Linked DNA regions of Rattus norvegicus. The protein of the gene in region 6 interacts with the protein of the main gene of each other region in a pairwise test. Links are inferred from orthologs where the notes say so. Each region holds a gene or a part of one and is shown on either strand. Other genes may lie near its edges. The genes, in order: Ubqln1, Bag3, Stam2, Reep6, Hip1 and Litaf.

Region 1 (4,300 bases), on a different chromosome or scaffold from region 6:
TGGGGGGACAGGGTATGCTTTCAACTTTTATCACATTTACTGCTCCCACAGGAAACAGATAAACCAACATTAGAATAAGTTACTTTAGGAAAGCTTTACTTTTACCCAGTAAAGACATTTTTACAGCACAGCAAAACATAAGCTTCCACGGAATTTAAAATTCTAGTGTCACTATTCCCCACTCCCCCAAAAAAACCCTATAGATAATCACCTAAATAATTTTTCTATTTATAAAGTATTATTTCTAATGTCCTGAAATAAAATGTGGAAGCTGCCAGGAAGATGGAAATCTAAACTGGGACTCTCAGGAAGACTCAAGAGCTTCATAATTTAGTATGTCCACACATTCATTACTCGGTTACAATGTAAAAAAAAAAAAAACCAGGGCTGGAGAGATGGCTCAGTGGTTAAGAGCACTGACTGCACTTCCAGAGGTCCTGAGTTCAAATCCCAGCAACCACATGGTGGCTCACAACCATCTGTAATGGGATCTGGTGCCTTCTTCTGGTGTGTCTGAAGACAACTACAGTGTACTCACACACACTAAATAAATCTTTAAAAAGAAAAGAAAAAGAAAAAACCCTATTCGTACCAAATATTAACAAGGAGACAGAAGGAAGGAGCACACACCCATATGATGTAGACTGAACTGCAAAATAGCACATTTTTCATGTTTCTTATAAAACTAAACAGAACTGGCAGAGCATGGTGGTGAATGCCTTTAATACCAACACTCAGATGAGTAAGGCAGATGAATTTGAAGCCAGTCTGGTCTACACAGTGTGAGTTCCAGGATAGCCAAACTTCCAGAGTGAAAGCCTGTCTTTTAAATAAAAACAAAAGCAACTAAACAATAACAGAGCATATGGCCTCAAAAAGGACTCCTGAGGCTCTTCACAAGAACTGCAGCTGAAAACAGATGACCCTGGGCAGGTGACGGCACATTCATGGTGTGGAAAACCACTCAGCAGTTAAGTACTGAGCTGAGGACTTGGTTCAGTGGTAGAATGAAGCCTGTGCCTAGTATGCAAATCTCTGTCGTGGGAGGGATACAGACCTCACTGGGATGAATCTCAAAAACTATGCTGAGTGGAGGAAGAAAAAAAGCCTTATCCAGAAGACCACATGAGAGACAACTAGGTCTCTGTGAACTCAATCTTGTAGGAAAAACAATCCTTACAGGGGTGACAAAAAGAGGAACGGAAGGAAGCCTGTAGTTCACTCTAACAGGCTCCACTATGGCCTGCTTGGCTGACACAGGTGTAGATGGAGCTGGGGAAACCAGCCAAGGCAACCATGTCCGTATCACTGCGCCTCTCATCATGTGGAATACCATTTTTCAAAGACGTTGTTCTCAAGCCACTAATATTTATGTGGCTTACCTTCCTTATAAGGGTAATACTGATATTTGCAGTATTTTTAATAGTAAGTGTATTTTAGAAGTAAGAGATGCCCAATACAGAAAACGCAGGAAAATGTCAATTGTGGGTGACGGACACACCTGCTGGAAAACATAAAGACGGTAAACTTTTTTTTATAGCAGCGTTAACGCACAAGGAATGATGCTTCAGTCAACCAGAGTTTCTCTCAATGTGCCACACATCCTCTTGCTTCAGAAAAGAAACCGACTTCACCTTTGGAACTAGATAAGCCTTGAGAGAACTTACAGGTACATTCCAGTGGCTGTTCCCTGCTTCCTCGCATAAAACTGTTTACAATGTTTGATACTGTCAACAATTCAAATGCTCTAGACCGTGTTGAAAACTACATTTGATAGGTTCTACCAAGGCTCTTAATTAGCTGCAAGATTTGTTTTCCTGAATAGACTTTAAGGCAATTATCGGCCTTAACATCAACCATGTTTCCTTGCGGTCCGTTGCAACCGCTAAGACCCAGTCAGGTGTCTTCTCATCTCCCTAAAAAAATCAAACAAAAACCTATCCAATGAGTGGCAGCTAAGCGATGACGGAAGTATTGTTCACAGAAGCAGCAAGTCGCCTATGAATCAAAAAGTCATTTACTTTTTTCCTTTCAGGCGTGAGCTAGTACAGTGTGACTGAAAACAAGTTCCGCGTCATAATTTTTATAATAAAAGGCTGAAAGGTGGGGGAGAGTTCAGCATTCAAAACCGAGAACTAGCCCTCCACGTGCTTCTCGCCCCCAAACCTCTCCAATTCCCAGGCAGGTAAAACAATGACCCCCACCCAGCCTGGTCAAAGGCCGAGCGACGCCCGCGCCCTGCCTCCCAGCAGCTCCCGGCTCCTTTGTGAGGACTGGGGTCCCGGGGCCCGGAGCTCGGCGGCTGCGGCGCAGCCCAGCCCAGGCCGCGCGGCTCACTCGTCCCGGCCCCGCACAGCTCACGCAGCGGAACCCGGCGGGACCTGACCGGAGCTCCCCGGGGCCGCCGCCCGGCCAGGCCGCCCCTTCGCCGCCCTCCCCGCCCCGCCGGCGACGCAGCGACCGCCTGGCCCGCGCCCTCACCTGCTGGACCGAGCTGTTCTCGGGCACAGCGAACTCTTCCTTCTCTTTAGGCGTCTTCACCGTGACCTTCATGATCTTGGGCTCTGCGGGGCCGCTGTCGGCCGCACTGTCCTGAGCGCCCGGTGGGCCGCCGCTCTCTGCGCTCTCGGCCATGGCGGTGACTCAGGCGAGCGCGACACTGGGGGCTGCGGCCGGGTCCGCGGGGCGCGACAGGTTGCGGGGCCACCGACGGTGCGTAGACGCGGGCTGCGGGTGCAGGCCCCGGTGGGCGATCGGCTGCCGTGTGGACGCGGGGACTCTCCGCGTCGCCGCCGCTTCCTCCTCCCGCACCTCCCCCACGCTCGTCGCCGGGCGCCGCGCGGGGCACGCTGGGTAACGCGCTGGCCGCGGCGCCGACTCCTGGCGGCCGGCTGCGCGAGGCACGCCGGGTAGCGCGTTGGCGAAGGAGCCGACTCATGGCCTGGCGGCGCTCGTTCCTTTCTTAGCCGGCGGACGAAGCGCGGGCTCCTCCAGGTCGAAGGAGCGCTGGGCACAGCGGGGGAACTTAACCCACTTCGCGTCTCCCGTTCTTCTTTGAAAGGCATTTAAACAGGGGTTTCATGGAAGACGCCATGATGGTGCACTAAGATGACGTCACGGGCAGCGAAATTGCTAGAAACGTCTGGCCCTTTGCTCTCGGTCCCGGTATCCTCCCGACCTGGTCCCCGTGGGCGTTGGCTTATAAAATAGCGGCGAGTTACTTTATTTTAATAAGCGTAGTGTTTGCCCGGGTGGAAGGAGTTACGATTGCCTTGTCTTGTGCTCAGGGCTTGGAAGCTAAGCCAATGGTGAAAGGTCTTCAAAGGAACACGAAACAGACGCCAGTGAGCCACCAGCGCAACCGCAGGCGCTCACTGTTTCAATGAGGCCAGAGCTTCCCTCCATGGAGTCAAACAGGTTTGGTCAGAAGACAGGACAACCCATATTGTCTGTCTTCCAAGCTGCGTGGGGGCAGAAACAGAATGCCTAGGACTGTCCACCCAACGGGTAGGAGTTAAGCCCAGCTGATGTGTGCCTTTTGTATTCTGTCCCATTACGTTACTGTGCAGCTCGCATCAGGGATAATGGTTGAAAACTTATTTTCAGCATAATGTAGGCACAAATAAGTCATTCACAAGTGACTCCCACATCCTTTATTCGCAAAGATAGCATGTAATACAGTCCGGCACTTTGTTAATCAACATTGCACAAACGTGAACTCTGACAGTGTACCGTGACCCTAATATGCAAAGACATTCCATAGTTCTGCTCTTAGGCCATCAAACCCTGTTCTATGATTAACTACTGTTGCATAAACACTTCTTAGCAGAGCCCTTTGAAATCTGGGTCAGAGTTTCGAAGGTAAATGGCGACCCAAGTGTCACTTGATATCACTTACATTTCTGTCAGCGTTGTTCGATCACAGGAAGAAGTTACAAGCTTTATGTCTAGGTGTGAGAAAATTGTTAGTTCTTGGGGTAGAAAGTTCCACCACTGAGCAAGCAAGCATTTTGGAATTTTCTCATGTTTATATATATAAAATCTCCTTCCAACTTCATTAGTTCCTCTGTTGACTGGTTTTCCTTCCTGCTGTATTCTCCCTGTGTACTTCCCTAGGCTGCCTTCTATGATGACATCCCCCCCTTCCGCCCCCCTCACACCTTTCCCTGCCTAACTTTCTGTGATCTCACATCATATCCCCCACCTCCTGGAAGTCTTCATTCTGTTGCCCTTTAGAAACCCGATCTCTTTACTCTAATACAGCGGCTGTAGATAACCTTTACTGATGTTTGTATGGAAT
Region 2 (3,500 bases), on a different chromosome or scaffold from region 6:
CAGTGAACTCGGGTGAAGGGCACATGGGACTTCTTCATACGAGTCTTACAGCTCTTCAGAAAGGCTGAAATTGTTTCCAAATAGAAAAGCTAAAGACAGTGCAGGGGAGATGACTCAGCAGGTCAAACACGTGAGTGACGGCCAGAGTTTGGACCTCCAGGGCACACAGGACAGATGCATGGGTGTGGCAGTCCACCTGTAAGCCCAGCACTCAGGAAGCAGAGATAAGATATTCCCCGAAGGGGCTGGAGAGATGGCTCAGCGGTTAAGAGCACCCGACTACTCTTCCAGAGGTCCTGAGTTCAATTCTCAGCAACCACATGGTGGCTCACAACCATCTGTAAAGAGATCCAATGCCCTCTTCTGGTGTATCTGAAGACAGCTACAGTGTACTTATATATGATAAATGAATAAAAAAAAATATTAAAAAAAAAGATATCCCCCGAAGCAAGCTAGCCAGCTGGGTAGACTAGTTGTACCGGCAAGCACTGGGTTCAAGTGAGAGACCCTGCTTCAGTGTAAAAGGTGGTGACAGATCAAGAAAGACTCCCATTGACCATGGGCCTTCATAAGGATGTGCGTGTACATGCACAAAACATGTATCACAGACACATATGCACAATGCATGCAAAAACAAACAAAAGTTGAGGATTTCCTGTTTCCAGGACTGAGATAATATCACTGTAAGAGAAAGACATTCTACATTTGGATCTTTGGAAATATCTCATAGGGAGAGTTCACTTTTAAAACCGTGATAAGGAGTAATTCAGCTGCTCAATGTTACAGCCGGGAGTGAGTGTCCTTTCCTGTCTCTGAGCTGCAGGTGTCTGGTTTCAGTAACATCTCTAGCTTCACTGGAGGATGCGCAGGGCCGTGACCATGATGTCCACCAGACCACAATGGCTTTCCACTACTGTCCACCAATGTGGCCAAGGACCACAATACCCTACTGCAAAAGGGGAATGTCTCAGACAAGGTCCCTTGCTGTCAGGCTCGGAGCTTATGAGATAAGAGGACCATCTGGATTGCACAAGATAATCACGGACTGAACCCGAAGGAACTCGTGCAAGGCATGAAGGGAAAGGAGTTGCTTTTAGAGGAGAGACTAGGTGGGCATCCCTTAGAAGGCAAAGGGATGGGGGACTGCACTGGTCTTTTATTTTATAGAACAGGTCCAGCCTGAGCAAATGCCCCAGAGGGATCAAGAGAATGGCTTGTAGAACAGAAATAGAGAAAGAGAAACAATGCCCCTCTTAAACTGAAGTGCACAGTGTGGTTAGAGTATGTGTTGGGGGGGATGGGGAGAGGAAAGGTGTGGTGCACACTAAGGAACATGGCCATAGAGGTGAGAGTGATAGCACTGAGTGACAGCCTTACCATAGGCTCTCCCTCCCCCTCTGTCCCTGAGCATCAAAGACCAGCAGCTTCTAGAATTCCATTTGTCTCTAGTTGTGCTATGCTGACAAGGCAGGGCTTTGAGGAATCCCAGGGCATCTGCAGAACCTCTCGGCTTGCCTCAGCCACCTGTGTTTCTGTGAACCATGACTCTCCGTACCTGAGGCCTGTCAACCACCGTGTGCACACGGATGGGTGATGGGCAGTGAACCGGTGTGCCGCTTCTGGCTGGAGAGCCCTCCCGGCTGGATGCACCTCTGACAGGTGACCTGAATGGAGATGTGGCCCGAAGAGGCCGGGGCTCCCAGTCGTCCCCCTGGATCTTGTGGTACACAGGCTGCTGGGGCTGGTATTCACCCTGCTGAGCTGGGTAGTGGGTCTTCTGGGCTTGGTGGAAGGAGGGCTGGGCTGCTGGCCGGGTGATGTTCTGCTCATGTATCACGGGGATGGGTATGTAACCCCTGGGGAGCTGATGGCTACCCAGACTGCTCCTGCCAGAGGACGGCAGGCTGGCCGAGGAGGACGAGGATGAGCAGTCAGAGGCAGCTGGAGACTGAGATCGCTGCAAGAGACAAAGGGCAGAGGCACGGTGCCATGAATGAATGACCCTGCTGCCCTGGCACTCCAAATATTCCAGACACCACCTGGCCAGGACAACACATCCCCAAAGCCCAAAGCCACACATTTTCAAAGTGTGAGGATAAGGGCTGTGTGGACTTCTGTGAGGGAGGGAGCAAGTGCTCAGTGTGCTTGAGACCCTGGTTTCACTCTCCAGCACACTCTACTTAACAAATAGAGTATTAAGAACACTGGGACATTGGGAGAGCACCTGCCCAGCATACACAAGGCTCCCAGAGCTCTGAAATAAAAGGGCCAGGGTTTAAATACTTGGAAGCTCGACAGTTCTCGGCACCTTGCCTGAAATATGGGGAAAGGACAGCCTGCCTGCCCACCTCATGGGTTGCTCTGAGGATTAACTGGATGCTCTGTGCCTGTGCGTTGGCAGGCAGCGGCGTGCACAGGAAGGGTGTGGGCCGCTGGGTCTGTTTGTTGTTACTGAATGTCTCCTTTCCGCTTAACCTCTCATTGGAGAATGCAGTGAAGCATCTGGGAGCTGCCTGTGTCTGGGTGCAGGCCAGGTCCCTTGCTCTTCTGATCTATCTTCTAGTCACCTAGAAGGTGAGGAAGATGGCTGCCTAGGTGGTTCCCCACTAACGGCCTTGTTGGCTTACATTTTCTAAGATCTCTGACCGATGTGTTGTTTTGACTTGTACTGGAGAAACATTACCTACATAGGAAACACATCTCCAAGAAAGGAGAGAGATTTCCAGTATCCCACATTAACTACAGTGAAAGTGAACACAAGTAGAGGTCAAAAACAATCAGGACTCTGACGCAGGCAGGAAATGTGGACTCATCCTCAAGAACAATGCCAGTGACCCAGGGGACGAGCTGCCGAGAGGACGACGACGAAAAAGGAAGGCATAACTACTTAGCAACCCTACCCAGTCTGTTGGCCACAACCTCAGCTCAGAACCGAGTGAGCAACACACTTTCACTAGTAACAAACCTCAAAATGGCAAACGTCAGGGTTCAAGCCTAAAGCTGTTGCCCTTCTGACTTAATGCTGGATTCCCTTTAACGGCACACCTGAAGACAGAGATCTATGGCACCCTGATTTCATTCCCAGCATAGGTCCAAATGGTTGCTGTCCATCTGAAGGGACCAGAGTAACTCAGCTCTCTCTGAAGCAGAGAGCCCAGTGTGCATAGGAACACTGATATAGGAAGCCAGGCAGTTGCTCCAAGCTGTGAGGCCTCTACCTCTATGCACTTTGGTCACTCAGTTACCCTGTTGGTGCCAATTCTTCTACTACAAAAATAAGTCATGTGCTCTCTGGCCATCTGAAAAAAATCTTACACCTACAGGTGTAAGATACAGGGACCATGTGAGGCTGCCAACCATCTCTGCAGCAAGAACCCCTGAGGCTGCAGGCCGTGAACCCCGTGTACTACCAGGTCGGTTTCTGGCCCAGCATGAACTGGGTCTCTTACCTCAGGTCCGTGGGCAGTCGGGGGCTGGGCTGTTGCAGCTGCCGGCACCTG
Region 3 (3,500 bases), on a different chromosome or scaffold from region 6:
ACAAAACTGAAATAATCAGTGGTAGATTGGTCATAGTTTTAGATAGATCATAGTTTTGGAGAACATATCCCACACCTACTTATACATCTGCTACTAATGATTAGTGAGTAATCACACTGGGAAAGTTGAGAAAAAAATAACTAGTTTGCCATACGTGTGGCTGGCAATATTAGTACGCATTTCCCTAGGCCTAAAAATATTCTTTACCCAAACCATTTGAAATGCGTACTAAATCTAGGGAGCTATACAGTGACCAGATGTTGTGATATTAAACACAATGCTATTTATGACCATAAATATGCAGCTAACTAAAATGTCTTTCAGTGTTCTGTGTCTTATAGTAGAAATTAATTGCCATTGAAAAATACTTTCTGATATGGAATGATGTCATATATATAGTGGAAGATAGAACAGCATAACATTACTTTCATTAATAAGAAGAATTTACTAAAGAAGAATGTCTAAAGGAATTAAAACTCAGAGTGCCCATTTCTGAAGTCAGTTACCTTTGAGTGAGAGCTGGCTGTCCATCTGTGAGTCTGTGAGCCAGGGTCAGTGTTTCATAGCAGAGGGGACATTGCAGCCTCTAGGGCTTTATAGTCTCATGGACTGTTTGCTCCTGCCACGAATTCAAAGATAAATATAAATCATTTTTCCTTGAATAAATCAGCAACAGTTTGCTATTTCTATAAGGGATGGGAATGAGAGTTAAAGTGCCTTGTTAGAAAGTTAAATTGTACATTTCACTTTGTCATCACAAAGCATGAGCTCTCATACTGCCCTCCAGTTCTGACTTACCAGACTATTGTAATCTGATTTTCTACTGCTTTCCCCATTAGGTTGGCCTTTCACTCCTCCCCTGTATCCTGGTTGTCCATTTGCCTACCTTTCTTTTACCATCTGGCCGACCTGACCTGGTCATTGTTTCTACCTTTCCTGTCCATCTTTCCTCAGGACGAACTTGAGCCCTGGTCTTGTCTCTGCTGTCTCCAGCTCCCGTTAACCTCTAAGTTCTCTGTCCTTTCCCCACTCCTTAGAAGTTTGCACTTGGTTATGTGTTACTTCATTTGCTGGTTTTTCTTTTGTGCTCTTGACCTTGTCTTCCAAGGAGAAGCGCCTCAGCTGTCCTTGCTTGCTCTGGTGTAGTCCTGAGTGTGATTCCCTGAAGGCTTGCCTTTGCTTGGGGTTGTCAGTCTTGCAGGATGGTCTTATGCATGCGCTCGTGGCCGTCCGCTGTTGTGTCAGTGTCTCTGCAGTACGCTGGGTTACGTAGGCCACATCACGCTGTTACTGCGTACACCTGACTTCTGTAGGTTTAAGTGCTTTGCAGCAGTTAGATAGTTTGCCTGCTTGTGGTCATGGCACGAGAAGAGACAGCACCTGTTAGTTGGCTCAAATAGCATGTTAATGAAGGAGAGACTGCTATTTGTGTGTTGGGCAGTTTATTCGGCTTCTCATCTCTCTTGTTCACACTGAATCACATCCAGTATACACTTACAGATGATTAATACCACACAAAAAGTAGCCATTTAACTTACACCGTCATTCATCACCCCCAGGGGAATGGGCAGAGTTGTACCATCAGGGTGCATTTCCTGGGTGGATAATGCTTATCTGGATTTGTTGTTGTCTAATGCTGTGCCTAGTTTTGTTTACTTCCCCAAAGTAATGAAGTAAACAGAGTAGCCCAACTTGTGTATATGTTGGTTTTACTTGTGTTTCCTTGATTTTAGTTTGTCCTGTCCTGGACCTGAGTAAGGCGTGTATGCTTTTCTCCCATTTTGCTCTTACTGCAGTCACAGTATACCTCACAGGGGCTCCGGGTCTTCATCTACATACTGTACTGTGTTAGTGGGGTTTATAATCAAGGCATAGACTTTTACTGAAACATAGACTATTTTTCTTTGTAATTAAAATTTTGACATAAATCTATAATGTATTAAGTTAAATTCTAGCACCCAAATTATGAATTGATTGCAATTTATGAGGTGTAGATCTGCCTTTTCTGTATTATTAGGAAGATGGACCAGTCTGTTGATGGAATTCAAGTTTCTCCTCTCAGTTTTCCTTTGGGGATGCCCTTTCATTGCATATAAAAAGAGCCTTCTGAGGTATGAACAAAAATGTGTACTAAACTTGAACGGTCTTCACGTTACTTTGAAAATACTTGTCTTGCATCAGGAGGCACTCAGAGCTGTCGGAGCTGAACGTAAAGGTGCTGGAGGCCCTGGAGCTGTACAACAAATTGGTCAATGAAGCGCCCATGTACTCAGTCTATTCGAAGCTCCACCCGGCTCCTTACTCAGCCACAGCAGCTGGGGTTCCAGTGCAGGTGAGCATTGCTCTTGAGAAGTAGTCATGGTTTTAAAAAAATTAAATGTTTTAAGAGCATAATGCTAAGGGCAAGATAAGGCCCCAGGGACCTGCTGCCCACGAGTAAAATTATAAAACTAGGGCTGGAAAGATGTGAAGAGATGGCTTAGCCATTAAAGATTAGGCTCACAACCAAAAAACAAAAAAACAAACAAAACAAAAAACCAATGTTCAAAACAGTGTATGTTCCTTCTTCACTGTGAGAAAGTACCTGAGGAGAGTCAGCTAAAAGGAGGAAGGTTGTTTGGCTGGTCTAGTGATCTCAGGCGTCTCAGTTCATAGTCAGCTGGCTCCACTGTCCTCAGCCCAAAAGAGCACTCCATCCCCAGGGCAGGTGGGAGGCAGAATAGTGCAGGTCTGAGGGCAAGATAAGGCCCCAGGGACCTGCTTTCTCCAGCAAGTCCTTACCTTCTCACAGCACGCTCTACCATGCACTCACTAACGGGCGGATTCATGGGTAAAGTTAGCTCTCGCTCACCAAGTTCTTGAAATCCAGACTTCCAGCACACAAGCCTCTGGTGTGTGGGGGTGGGAGGGGATCTCCATATCTGCAGACCTTGGCACTGAACTTTGATGGTTTCAGAAGTATTGTTTGAACAGTGTTAGCCATAAAGATTAAATATGATATTTCACAAATTCATTCCAGTTTATTTTTAACACATTGAAAAGACTGTGCCTGGTTCTTTTTATGCCTCTGTAAGGAAGTAAGTATGTATGGGGTATAAGTCTTCTTTGTAGATGTAAGTCCTGGGCTGGAGACATGGCTCAGCCGTTAAAGGCTAGGCTCACAACCAAAAATGTACATGTAAGTCCTGTTTTATCAAGCACGAATTTCTCTCATATATACACACACACACATAATTTTTAATTTTATGTACCCTAAAGTGTTGTCTGGATATATGTCTGTATGAGGGTGTCAGATCTCCTGGGAAGGAGTTACATACAGTTGTGAGCTGCCATGTGGGTGCTAGGCATTGTACTTGTGTCCTCTGAAAGAGCAGCATTTTCTTAGACTCACGCCTTAACGTCTGTGTAATGAAGCTTTGCTCTGGGCTGTGAGATGTAGTTGCCAGAAGCTGCCCATTAGCAACATTGCTTTCCCACTACTTAGCATGGTTTTGTGCCTC
Region 4 (4,171 bases), on a different chromosome or scaffold from region 6:
CCCAGCTCCGAAAAAAAGAAAAAAAAAAAAAAAAAACAACTCTTAGAAAATCCCAAGAAACCTCTCCGGTCTCTGAACAATAACGGGGAGAGGCCTGGTCACCCATGCTGGGGTGACCTGTTCACGGAGACTTCCTGCCTGAGTCACTCCTGCTCCTGTGGGTGACCCCAGTAAGCTCTACCTCACAGGCAGACCTGCCACACCACTTGTCTTTGGCCTGTGGTGCCCTTTCTACCTGGAGTAAACACTAATACTCTATTTTTTCCCCAGGCAGAGGGATGCCATGCTGTGAAGTCAGAACTTGGCAGCTGAGATGGGAGAGCATATGTTCTGGGCCAGCCTGGGCTAGCTACGAAATTTCTGTCTCAGGAAGGGAAGACATAGGTTTCCTGCCTGGGTGTGCTTGTGTCTTGGCCCCTTTAGCAGGACCCAGGGTAGGTGACCTGCTTTCCTCTGCCTCAGTTTCCTTGGGGCCTGACCAGATAGTTGGACACACTCGGTGAGCCTGAGCGGGTGATTTTATTGCGTGCCGCGGAGGATAGATGTTACATGGGGGACCCCGGATGGTGTTTCACATGCACCTTGATGGATGTTTTGTTGAGGGTGTTTCACATGGGGCTTCGTGGTTGGTGTCTCACCCGGGAGTCCACGGGCAGGTTTGACGTGTGATGGCCTGGCTGGTGGGTGTTTCATGTGGCATTGTGGCAGATGTTTAAACTATTTGCACGACGGGCAGTTATTCAACGTGGCTCTTGTATGGTGCTCCGGAGGTCTAGTGCTTCTTGTGGCTCCCCTGGGTAGGTGTCTCTTGCGGTCTCATGGCCCACGGGTGTCCAGGCGTGGCGTTAGTATGCCAGGTGTGGCAGGAGCCAGCAGTGTCTAGGGCAGCGCAGCTGGTGACCGTAGTCTGGCCATTTGCAGGTGATCTCCGTGGTGGACTCGGACAAATAATCCAGAGAGGTGTCAGAGTGACAGGGGACCAACAGCTCGGGCACAGAGGTGCTGCCAGCCGCCTGTGTCTTCTGGTTACGCTTGCCGATCTTGGGACCTGCATTCCCTGACTCAACCGGAGCCTTGCCGGCCCCCTGGTTGAGGTCAGGGGATGTGCAGGGAGACGGGACCCTAGGTGAGCCCTGGACAGACACACTGACACGCTGTGTGGGAGTGGGTACAGATGTGGCTGCTGGCGCTGGCACTGGCGCTGCTGGGGCTGCTGGGGCTGCTGGGGCTGCTGGGGCTGCTGGGGCTGGGGCTGGCGCTGCCGCCACCGCGGCTGCCGCTCGGCCTGGGCCTGCCGTGGAGACCTGGGGGGTCTGCTGGTTTGTTCCTGTGTGGCGGCCTGTTGTCCGGCTGGGTCCCAAGGACCGGCCTGCTGACTGTGGGGCAGCAACAGAGCGCATGGGCAGCTGAATGGACCCCAGTGTTCCACTGGGCAGCCGGGCGCGCTGTGCGGCCCTGGGAGTCAAACTGCCCCGGCTTCGATGGGTCCGGGTCTTGCTGGGAAACTGGGAGCCGATGACGAAAGAACCAGTGGCCAGCTGACCCCGGGACGCAGACGCAGAGCCTGGGCTGACTGGGGACGGGGACTGCCCATTTGTGGCCCGTGAAGGGCTTCCTAATGGTTTACTTGGACTTGAGGGTCGGCGTGGTTGTGGTTGTGGTTGTGGTTGTGGTTGTGGTTGTGGTTGTGGTTGTGGTTGTGGTTGTGGTTGCGGTTGTGGTTGTTGCGGTTGTGGTTGTTGCGGTTGTGGTTGTTGTGGTTGTTGAGGTTGAGGTTGAGGTTGAGGTTGAGGTTGTGGTTGAGGTTGCGGCTGTGGCTGTGGTTGCGGCTGTAGCTGTGGCTGCGGTTGTGGCTGTGTCTCCTCTATCTGGGAGTCTGAGGAACTGTCAGAGATCTGGCCATCATCGGCTATGTGTTCCTTGTCAGTGGTTGGGGGCTCTACACACAGACTGCCAGCAGACCTCACTTGTGCTTCAGGAGTGTGGTCTGACTTGACTTGGCTGTGGAGAGAAAAGATCGCCGGTGTAGGTATGTGAGGGCAGCTGAGGTTGGCTGGGGGCCCTCCCACCAAGTCTCTGAGGGAGAGCTGGTAAGAATGTGGTGTCAGGGGGCTGGGGATTTAGCTCAGTGGTAGAGCACTTGCCTAGCAAGTGCAAGGCCCTGGGTTCGGTCCCCAGCTCCGAAAAAAAGAAAAAAAAAAAGAAAAAAAAAAGAATGTGGTGTCAGCTCTGCTCTGCAGGCAAGCTTGCCCCCACTTTGAGGACATCTGAACATAGGCCTGCAACTCTGCTCCTCATGGGACACGCTTGTCCAGAGGCCCCCGTACACGCACATATGCAGACACACACCCAGGTTGGCATTCGCCGTGCTCGTACGTACACACACATGCAGACAATCACACCACATGCACACTGAGTGAATGTGCCCTATACAATCCCTTCAGAGGATTACATACGGTCCGGTTCCAGAGCGGCTGGGGACTCCGATGCTGATGCTGGGGTTACGAGAGTCCGACCCCGAGCCAAGGCCTGTAGCACTGGTTCCCGACAGCCAAGGAGAGAGAGGCGGACAGTAAGAGGATAGTGGAGCCATGCAGGGGTTGGTCGAGACGCAAGACAAGGAATGTAGCCAGAGTCAGGAGGCTCGCAACAGGTAAAGGGACAGATAGGCAAATTCAATCATGGGGACAGACAGACAGAGGGTCAATCGAGACCCAGGAGCAAGCTAAGGCGGCCTGATAGTGCCATCCCGGCACCCAGGAGGTAGCGGCAGGAAGGTCAGGAACAAAAGACCACCCTTGTGAGGAGGGGGGTAGCCTGAGCTATTTGAAGTCCTTTGTCTCAAAATAACCTAATTAGCCATGTGTGGGGCCCTTAATCCTAGCTCTCCAGAGAGAGGCTTAGAGAGGTGGATCTTTATGAGTTTAAGGCCAGCCTGGTCTATAAAGCGAGTTCCTAGCCAGCCAGGGTTACATAGTGAGACCTTGTCTCAAAAGAACAAAGCAGAACAAAATGTAAAAAAAAAAAAAAAAAGGTAGGGGGGGGAAACAAAACAAATACAGTATCCAAACCAAGCCCCGTGGGCATCTGCCCCATGTACTTACCGTCCCTGGTTATCCCAGCTGCTATGTCCAATGCTCTTCCGCTTAGCTGGCTCGCGGCGCTGTCTAGAGCCACGTGGTGCTTTAGAAACAGAGGTCTTATGACGCGATGATACAGTAGCAATGCCCCGTTCCAGGGCCCGGGTGTCATGCAAAATAATAGGAAGGCGCACTGCATAGGGACATGGAGCTGTCACCACAGGGTCCGGCCCCACGCATGGGGACAGCATGCTGTCACCACAGGGCCCGGCCCCATGCATGAGGACAGCATGCTGTCACCCACAGGGCCCTGCCCTACACAAAGGGACACACCACAGGGTCAAACAGGGCACCTATGCCCCCCCTTCCCCCAGGACTAGCCCACCTCTCCCCCTTGCCTGCCCCCTGCCCCCAGGGCTGGCCCGACTACCCACCTTGCCCGCGTAGTAGAAAGGGAACCAGAACAGGAGTAGATCGCTGAAGAACTCGACTAGACCGAACAGGGCGTACACCACCCAGTAGGTTAGCCACACAGTGTCGTCTTCCTTGTTTGGGCTCTCGATAGCTTTGACTCTGTCCAGGTAGGAATGCACGTGTCTGCCCTCAAGGTGCCATCTGGGAACACCAGAAGCCCCCCACCCTGTGGACTGCCTGCTGCACTCACGAAGCATATGCGGGGTATACAAATCCGATGACATTGCAAAGTAGAGACGCCCCGTAGCCGAACAGAAGATACAGGCCTAGAAGGGTGAGGGCTCCTGCAAAGACAAGAGCGTTGGGCAAGGCCTGGCACACAGCACCTATCTGACAGCTCCCTGTGCCTCTTCCTGGTGATGCCCTGGGCAGTGAATCCCTATCACTGAACCCTGGCTTCACACCCAGGTCTCAGTTTTGGATCACAAATTCAGCCTTTTTCCTCCTCTTCTTCCTCCTCCTCCTCAAGACAGGGTTTCACAATGAATGCAGTTCTGGTTGGCTTCAAAGTCATGGAGATCTGCCTGCCTCTGCCTCCCGAGTGCTGAGATTGGAGGCGTGTTCTGCCACATTGACTGTCTTGGGCATTTTGTTTTGTTTGGAGTTTTTTTTGAAAC
Region 5 (4,080 bases), on a different chromosome or scaffold from region 6:
AGGGTCTCCCTATGTATAGGCATGGTTAGCCTGGAATCTGCTATGGAGACCACACTGGCAAGGATCCTCCTGCCTCTGCCTCCTGAGTGCTGGGATTGTCAAAGTGTCCCACCATGCCTGCCAGCTTGAGAGAATTTCAACAACTCAGTTGGATTGTGCTGCCTCATGCCAGTAATCTGAGCACTAGGGAGGCCAAGGCAGGGAGATGAAAGTTTGAGGGCCAGCCTGGTCTACATAGCTGAGTTCCAGGCTAGCCTGAGCAACACAGTAAGATCCTCACTCAAATAAAACAAAAGCAACAATAACAAAACAAACAAAAAATTAAAAAAAAAAAAACCCTCAGCACTTGGGAGGCAGAGGCAGGCAGACCATTGTGAGTCTGAGGCTAGCCTGATCTACAAAGTGAGTTCCGGGTCAGCCAGAGCTGTTATACAGAGAAACCCTATCTGTAAAAATCAAAAAGAAAAGAAAAAAAGGGGAGGGAGGAGTTTCCATAACTGAAAAACTCTGCTGTAGTATATCTCAATGCGTGTGCACACATGCACACACACACACACACACACACACACACACACACACCAAATCTGACTAATAACAAGTGTTCTACGAAGGTAAAATTAGACACTGACCTACCAGTCTTCCTGTTGAGTATTCCCTGGGTAACTAGGAAAAATGTTAGTTGTGGCTGGAAACATTTCAAATGCCTAATTTCTTTCTTTTTTTTTTTTTCTTTTCTTTTTTTTTCGGGGCTGGGGATTGAACCCAGGACCTTGTGCTTCCTAGGCAAGCGCTCTACCACTGAGCCAAATCCCCAACCCCTCAAATGCCTAATTTCTATCACTGTCTATTAATTTCAAACTTTCAAAAACACTCTTAATGTAATTTTGGGTGTGTGTGTATGGAGGGGTGTTCATGGCGCAGCTCAAAACTGAAGTCAGAGGGCAACATGGCTCCTTCCCTGGCATGAAACGCAGGTGGCCCCTTAGCCAGCTCCACTGGGCCTAAGCTCAAACTTTTGTTTTGTTTTGTCTTTGTTTTTTTGGAGCTGACGACTGAACCCAGGGCCTTGCGCTTGCTAGGCAAGCGCTCTACCACTGAGCTAAATCCCCAACCCCAAGCTCAAACTTTTATGTCTAACTTACTGCTCCAGTTTTAAGCTATCAGAGATTCTCAGACGGTTGGATGTCACAAAATAGCTCCGGCTTATTTTCCTCTTTCAGTTTAAAAATAAAAGAGGTTTGTAGCGGGGAGAAGATGAAAACTTTCTTTTTCCTTTTGGCAGCAATGCCCAAAGTTCAGAAGATCTGAGAAATTAAAAAAGTTCCAAAAACCCTTAGACATTGAGAGGTAAGTGAATGCCGGTTCTCCTCCTCCCCGGGTACAACTACCCCTTTTTTCCCCCAGACACAAGAAGTGGATCCAGGGGTCTCAGAAACAAGAGGTGGATTAAAGTCCCCTGGGGTGAAAAGGCTGTCTTCCGTGCACCGTCCATTTATAGAACTCACGGGCTCTCCTATCTCTTCCACCTTTTCTACTCACAGAACACCACAGGGGAGCTGCCTCTGGCTGAAGTCAACTCGATCTTCAAAGTAGAACTTGGAGAGCCAGAGGAGAACAAGAAATCTACGGGCCCAGCTTCCGCAGTGGGATCCGAAGGGTTGTACTCTCAGATTTTACATACAGATGAATTGGTAACTACACACCCAGCGCCTCACTACTTGACTCGGTCCGATCGATACAGCATGCATAAAAGCTTGAGATAAAAGTGGATAGTGGCTTTTTGTTGATAACCGCGGTGGAATTTTGGCCATCTGCCCTGGTCAGACCAGACAAGGCAGGCGGTCTGCTTAGTAGCTGTCAGGCATATTTTGGAGGGTGAAAGGAAAACCGCAAATCAGGATTCTATGTATCACTGGAGAGCTTAACCCGACACGCGAGGGTCTGACAGTCCAAGCGTCGCAATTCCTACACGCGTCCCCATTTCTCCAAACCCCCGGGGGTCATTTTCCAAGTTGGACCACACTTCACATTTCCTACGGTCCCTCCCATCACTCAGACCCCTTTGGCGCAGCCTCTGAGGCCAACAGCTGGGGCTGCTGAGAGCCAAGTTAGAGGCACCGTTGAACGAGATGCTGGGGAATGAAGGAAGAAGTCAATACTAAAGTAAAGCGATCAGAGCCACCCTTTACACCTCTACGTTGGTGTCCCCACACTTGCAAAAACCGAGTGACTTCCAAGTGCTTCCCCTACCCAGGAGCACCCCTTCCATCAGTCCCTTTTCGACTCCCTTTGGCCTCCCTTGTGACCTCTGATGGTGCTCGCCGAGGCTATTCTCTCAGTTGCAGGAATCTGCAGTTCCCCGGAGTACACCCCGACCCCCGTGCCAGTAGGGATGCCCAGGTCCCGGACCTCCCTGGGACCCGCCTAGTTCCGCACCCCAAAATGATTCTGATCGCAGCCACCTTGCCTAATTCCCTCCCGGGACTGCAAGACTCACTCCGTTCCAAGCCTCTCTAGCACCCTGCATCACTCCAGGTGCCCCCAGGGATGCCCCAGGGTTCTCGAATCTCACCTGAGTCCGCTCGAAGCTCTCGCGCTCCGCAGCCTCCATCCCAGCACCAACCCCGCGCCGGCTCAACACTTTGGGCAGCGGGTTGGGTACCTGCTTCATGGAGCTGGCCATCCGGTCCATGTTGTCTGGGTGAACAGAGTCAGGGGCCCTCGGCCGCCCCGGGATCCCCGCGGCGCCTCCCGCCCCTCCCTACCCGCGGGGATCCGGCGCTAACGGGGACAGATTACGTCTTCCATTGGTTGACAGCGCTGTCCATCTCCCTCAGGACCCACCCCATCTCTCCAAGAGGCTTTTCCCCACATCCCTTTTCCCACTTCGGAGGCGCTCCGCTCACTTCACCGGCTGGCCCGCCTCAGAGCGGTCGGCATGCTATGACTGGTCTGAAGGTTTGTCCGTTAACTTCTGTGGGCAGGACCTGGTGGGCTCTTGCTCCCTCCCCGAGGCTCCGCCCCATGATCGATACACCGCCTTCCAGGCCTAGAAATGCACTGTCATTGGTCTGAAGAGTTATCTGTCAACACAGCAGGGCTGGCTTCGTGAGCTGCCCTCACCATTTTTTTGCTGCTCCACCCTACATCCGTCACTCCTCCTTTGTTCCCACCCTACAGGACCAAAAGAGCACCATGATTGCTCTGAAGGCTTGTCCGTCATCTTAATGGGGCAGGGCCTGGCTGCTACAGACCAGCCCTTGAGACTCCACCCTATCTCGAAGCGCCACCTCCTGGGCCCTTCTCTGCTGCGGGTTGCTGAGCTCGAAGAGCTGCCGTCCAGCCGGCGCCACGAGTTCCCGAGGGGGACGGAAAGGCAGATCAAGGGAAGCATGGCTGCACCGCTTTCACCAGGCTTGCCGGGGAACTCCGCATCAGTGTGGTCCGGCGATGGCGGCCTTAGTGGCTCTCGAAGTCTCCTCCCCGTGCATTCCTATCTGCCAGTTCTGGAGGATCGCCGACCCGGGTCCCCAAGTACTGGACTTTGACTGCGGGTATCTCCCCAGAGCTTTCCCTTACCTTGGTAGAAACCCCAACAGATGCTCCTTGTTTATCTATAGCAGGGTCCACTCCTCCCATCCTGTTCTGGGAGCATCTACAGACTGGGACGTGTGCTCCTCAGCAAAGAAAATGTTACACGTTCTCTACTAACAGAACCAGTGGCACCGTTAAGAATTTAAAAAAATTGATGATGCTATTCATCTATCTGTTCAAGAACCCAGTACACGTCTCACTTGTACTAGGCAATGTTTTGATTAATGAATGACAGCATCAAACTCATTATATAGCCGAGTCCCTCGAATCTCCGTGGACCACGATGCTTGGCTTTTGTTAATGTGTGTGAATTATGTACCTGTGTGTATGTGTGGGACTGTGCTCACGCGGCAGTGCACCTGTGGAGGTCAGAAAGCAAACAAGATTCTGTTCCCTACCATGTGGATCCCAGAGAGCTGACGTGGGTCGTAGGCTTAGTAGCAACTTACCTGAGCGATCACACCAGTGGGACGCTTTAAAGACAGT
Region 6 (4,194 bases):
TCTCCCTTCCCCATACACATGCTTTAAAAAGAAGAAGAGGGAAGGGAAAGGCTCTCTCTCTCTCTCTCGCTCGCTCGCTCGCTCGCTTGCTCTCTCGCTCTCTCGCTCTTTCTCTCCTGATCCTAGTTGTTAAAACCTTGGAGTCCTGCCCATCCTCAGGAGAATAACACTTATAGAGGGCCAAAAAAGACTGAGCAGACAGACTTGCTTCAGCCCTACCATCTGTGTAGAAACAGTGTCTCAAGGTCTTTGGTCTTCATATGTGAAGGCTCGTAGACCTGTTACACTTTCTATCACTAACATGTCTTTTGTTGAAGGCATTTTGGATGTGACTTTTAGGATGCTGAGACAGGGGCCTTCTTGTCTACAAACCTAATAAAATGACACACAGTTCTCAAAGATCTGTAGTCAAGTGACAATCTCAATGAGTCTAATGCTGTCATCACTGTCCAGTCTGTCAGTGAATGCTCAAGAAAAAGAAAGTTATGAGGAAAGCAGCACTTGACCTCAAACTCCAATTCCACAGCAGGTAATCACCACTCAAGTTCAGAGTCAGCCATGGGTGGCCAAATGGGCCACAGAGACAGACACAGAGAGCGGAGTCTATTTACCTGTGGATATGAGCCACCTGGCTCCCTGGGCTATTTTCATGGCAGCAGAAAGCCAAAACAAACAAAATACAAGTGACTGGTGCCAAGACTCCAGGGCTTCCTCTTACTTTCCACCCCCATGGGAGCTTCAGGGAAATGTGCAGGAGAATTTGAAATGGGGTAAGGGGTCCTGCCCATTCTCACAGCGGCATGAGGCCATGCCGAGACCAGTAGGGATGACTGGATTAAATTAAGGCAGGAAAGCAGGAACTGCCTTGCCAGCTCCTTCATCTCAGGTTTCCCTCTTACTGTGGTCTAGTCCAGTCTATACCTCGGCTGCAACTTTGCTGAGATCTTTCTGCTTATGTGTGGTGTCCTCAGATACAAGCTTTTCTGTACAACCTTCCCTGTCTAGGAACATCTCCCAGTTGCCTCAGCTGGGGTTCTGAGCTAAGCTCTGAACTTTTCAACAGCATGCCTGCTTTTCACCCATAACATAAGCCACTCAGGGCCAGGAGCCATTTTTTTTTTCCCAGCATTGTCAAAGGACAAGGGGTAGTCCTTTCCCCTCCTATGGCCAGGTCATAAAAGTATTGAAGGACAAAGGAATGTATCTGCCAAAGGCAGGAAGCTACTTCAGTGAAGTATTTTAGAGACTCAAGGCACTGATGATGGATCTCAGAGCAATCTCTGGGTCACTTGATTCAGTAAAATATCATAAGGATATTTTTTTTCAAGCAGGGAAAAAACCATTCATTATTAATGCCTTTAGTGGTACAGGAAGAAGGACAATGGGCCTCTCCCACAGTAGATCTACAACAAATATTTCCAAGCTAGCCTGAACACCTTTAGAAGGCAGAGCAAGGACTGGCTAAGAAGAGAGCCAGGTGCAGTATGGGTGTTATTCTAGGCCAGGCAGAACAAGTGACACGCCCTCTGGATCCAGATCCAACTGATAAGGCCAAACACTGGAGGAATTACTGATACCACTCAGCTCCTTTCCCTACAGCCTCTCTCTCTCTCTCTGCATTAGTTCTACTTTAAAAGAGCCAATCTGAGGAGGCTGGAGCGGAGGGCAGAAGAGAAGGTCCAATATGGAGTCCAGGAGTCTCCGGACCGGCTCCAGCTCACCATCCTCAGGAGAGAACAGTTTAATTCAAAGGAGGCTGGAGAAGGACTCGGAGGCACAGTAATCTCAACACTGCGGAGGCAAAAAGTCCAGGAGTTCAAGACCAGCCTCAGCTACATATGCAGTTGGGATGCCAGCCTGGGCTACATAAGACCTTGTCTCAAAACAGCAAGAAGCTGATGAGCTTAGAGTGCCCCGTGACTTCCACAAACTATTTCCCAACAACTAGAGCTCAGTCCAACAGGGAATGACATCAGCTCCAGTAACCGGAAGCACAAATCCGACGAAGTATTAGGTAGGGAATGTCCAAACGACCTGATCATTGGAGCTTTGCCTTTCTAAAACACACCCGTGCTCCCCTCACCTCTTCCTCTTAAACCTGTGGGCACAACACCTAATGATCAGGCGCACCGTCCAGACCTACAGTGACCTGGGAACCTGGGAAGCCAAGAACTGGGGTGGCAGGACAGGCAGGGGCCACGTCCTCCTTCGCCTGGGCTCCAGACTCCACAGTCATACAGCTCCCCTCCACTCCGATACGCCCGCACCCGTCTGGGAACCCGTGTGAAACCCACAGGGCTTAGAGCAAAAGACGCGTGGGCTGGGAACAGTAAAGAGCATCTGGAAAGTTTTCCTACTTTTTGTCTATTCGCTTTTGCTTTCAGAGTACGCACCGGATCCTTCTCCAAATCGCAACTTAGATACTAAAGGTTACTTAGAGAAAACTGCGTCTTTTCCTATAAGCCCGAGGGATATTATTCGGGGAGGTTCGGATAGAAGCTGGGTAGTCCGGGCCTGAGAACCAGACACAATCGGAGCACTGCTGGAACCCCTCGCCCTCAATCCCGCCCAGAGCGCGCCACCCCGGTTCCCACGACGTCCCTGCTCGCCGCCCGAGGGCAGCGCGGTGCCCCGGGACTCTAGGCAGGTGTCAAAGCGCGACCCCCGCTTCCGTTGCCGCCCCGTGCCCAGCGCCCCGAATCTGGTGCTCCCCAGGGAGCACCCAGCCGGGCCGCACTTACCGCCGCCCGCGCCGCCAGTGGAGCCGGGAGGTCTGCGCTGGCCGCGCGCGCGGGCCGGGAGGGCTCCGGGGAGGCAGGGCGAGCTGGGGGCGGGGACGTTTCGGGGCGTAGCTTGAGGGGGGACGAGCCAGATGGGGCGGGGTCTGGGGGGCGGAGCGACAGTCTAGAGGCAGGAGGGTTGGGGATGAAGCTGCGACCTGAGTGGGCTCGCGAGAGGCGGGGCGCACGGAGGCGGGGCCAAAAGGTCGGTCAGGAGGCGGACTCCAGAGCCGCGAGGCCTGGGAGAGGGAGGGGCAAGATTATTCTTTGTTTCTAGCAGCCACAACTACACCCCTACCAAAAAACAAGGCATAAAGAGAACCTACAGAATGGGAAACAACATTGTATGTCATGTAGCTGATGAAAGTCTACTATTCAAATTACATCATGAACAGTACAGGGGATACAGCCTATATCCCGGGTCAGCCTGATCTGAAACAGTGAGTCCCAGCCAAGCTAAGGCTTTCATAGTGAGACCAGTCTCAAGAAACCAAAAACTAGACAGAATGTAGCTCAGCTGGTAGAGGGCTGGCATTAGCATGCATGAAAACCGGGTTCACCCCCAGTGCCCCATAAATGAGTGCCACAGGCCTGCAACTTTTTAAGGCTGAACAGTTTCTCAAAAAAGTTGAATCTAATCTGGGAGACACAAGAAGTTTGAAGCCAGCCACAGATACACAGTGAGATCCAGTCTGAACCCATCCCACACATATACAAAAAGAACATTTTTACAATATACATGCCTCTGTGTGTATGTGTGTGTGTGTGTGTGTGTGTGTGTGTGTGTGTATGTGTGTGCGCGCGAGCATGCATGTGAAGTAGAGTCTCACCTGGCCTTGAACTCACAGAGATCTGCCTGCTTCTGTCTCCTTAGTGCTGGGACTAAAAGTGTATAAATAAATAAAGTGTGTAAAATATAAGCCATGGCTTATATTTTATACCTTGGCTTCAATGTGAGCACAATTGCAGACAGAAAAGGCTTCAGGAGGGAAAGGTTTATTTTGGGTCAGTGTCAGAAGGTTTCACTCCATCTCTATGGGAAAGATCTGGCAAAGCTGTTGAGATTGTGATGGCTGAGGCTATGCAGGGGCTGTTTACATTACAGTAGACCAGGGTGGAGAAGAGTGAGTAATCAGAGTCAAGGAACAGGATTAACCTTCAATGGCCACCCTTAGCAGCTAGGCCTTGCCTCCTAAAGCCTGTAATCTCAGTGCTGGGATGGGGGAGGCAGGAAGATCTCTGCAGTTGCTCCTGGCTAACCTACAGAACTGGAGAACCTTCGGTTCAGCTGAGATTCTATACCAAAAAGTGTAGAGGAGTATGCCTGGCAGAGGAAATACCACATATGGTATTTGGTCATACAATTGCTTTCCCAGGGTGAGACTCATCCATTGCGTTCCTCACGTGCTGATCC

What was found.
Region 1: the proteins of Litaf (region 6) and Ubqln1 interact in binary tests that used the Homo sapiens proteins (3 or more experiments, as listed by UniProt). The two-hybrid records come from large-scale screens. The link is inferred for Rattus norvegicus from reciprocal best matches to the Homo sapiens genes LITAF and UBQLN1.
Region 2: the proteins of Litaf (region 6) and Bag3 interact in binary tests that used the Homo sapiens proteins (3 or more experiments, as listed by UniProt). The two-hybrid records come from large-scale screens. The link is inferred for Rattus norvegicus from reciprocal best matches to the Homo sapiens genes LITAF and BAG3.
Region 3: the proteins of Litaf (region 6) and Stam2 interact in a two-hybrid assay, tested with the Homo sapiens proteins (4 studies listed by BioGRID and IntAct). The two-hybrid records come from large-scale screens. The link is inferred for Rattus norvegicus from reciprocal best matches to the Homo sapiens genes LITAF and STAM2.
Region 4: the proteins of Litaf (region 6) and Reep6 interact in binary tests that used the Homo sapiens proteins (3 or more experiments, as listed by UniProt). The two-hybrid records come from large-scale screens. The link is inferred for Rattus norvegicus from reciprocal best matches to the Homo sapiens genes LITAF and REEP6.
Region 5: the proteins of Litaf (region 6) and Hip1 interact in binary tests that used the Homo sapiens proteins (3 or more experiments, as listed by UniProt). The link is inferred for Rattus norvegicus from reciprocal best matches to the Homo sapiens genes LITAF and HIP1.

The regions. Positions count from the first base shown.
Region 1 is NC_086035.1:6,442,940-6,447,239, reverse strand, and holds the start of Ubqln1 (ubiquilin-1), read right to left. Parts: upstream 2,801-4,300; 5' UTR 2,635-2,800; coding exon 2,482-2,634; intron 1-2,481. UniProt on the Homo sapiens protein: Plays an important role in the regulation of different protein degradation mechanisms and pathways including ubiquitin-proteasome system (UPS), autophagy and endoplasmic reticulum-associated protein degradation (ERAD) pathway.
Region 2 is NC_086019.1:192,550,460-192,553,959, reverse strand, and holds part of Bag3 (BAG family molecular chaperone regulator 3), read right to left. Parts: coding exon 3,450-3,500; intron 1,958-3,449; coding exon 1,556-1,957; intron 1-1,555. UniProt on the Homo sapiens protein: Co-chaperone and adapter protein that connects different classes of molecular chaperones including heat shock proteins 70 (HSP70s), e.g. HSPA1A/HSP70 or HSPA8/HSC70, and small heat shock proteins (sHSPs), e.g. HSPB8.
Region 3 is NC_086021.1:57,602,416-57,605,915, reverse strand, and holds part of Stam2 (signal transducing adapter molecule 2), read left to right. Parts: intron 1-2,181; coding exon 2,182-2,332; intron 2,333-3,500.
Region 4 is NC_086025.1:10,024,101-10,028,271, forward strand, and holds the end of Reep6 (receptor expression-enhancing protein 6), read right to left. Parts: intron 3,839-4,171; coding exon 3,745-3,838; intron 3,654-3,744; coding exon 3,515-3,653; intron 3,274-3,514; coding exon 3,105-3,273; intron 2,538-3,104; coding exon 2,457-2,537; intron 2,002-2,456; coding exon 1,964-2,001; 3' UTR 501-1,963; downstream 1-500. UniProt on the Homo sapiens protein: Required for correct function and survival of retinal photoreceptors. Required for retinal development.
Region 5 is NC_086030.1:26,768,667-26,772,746, reverse strand, and holds the start of Hip1 (huntingtin-interacting protein 1), read right to left. Parts: upstream 2,801-4,080; 5' UTR 2,693-2,800; coding exon 2,573-2,692; intron 2,567-2,572; exon of another isoform or gene 1-2,566. UniProt on the Homo sapiens protein: Plays a role in clathrin-mediated endocytosis and trafficking. Involved in regulating AMPA receptor trafficking in the central nervous system in an NMDA-dependent manner. Regulates presynaptic nerve terminal activity.
Region 6 is NC_086028.1:5,161,864-5,166,057, reverse strand, and holds the start of Litaf (lipopolysaccharide-induced tumor necrosis factor-alpha factor homolog), read right to left. Parts: upstream 2,801-4,194; 5' UTR 2,742-2,800; intron 1-2,741.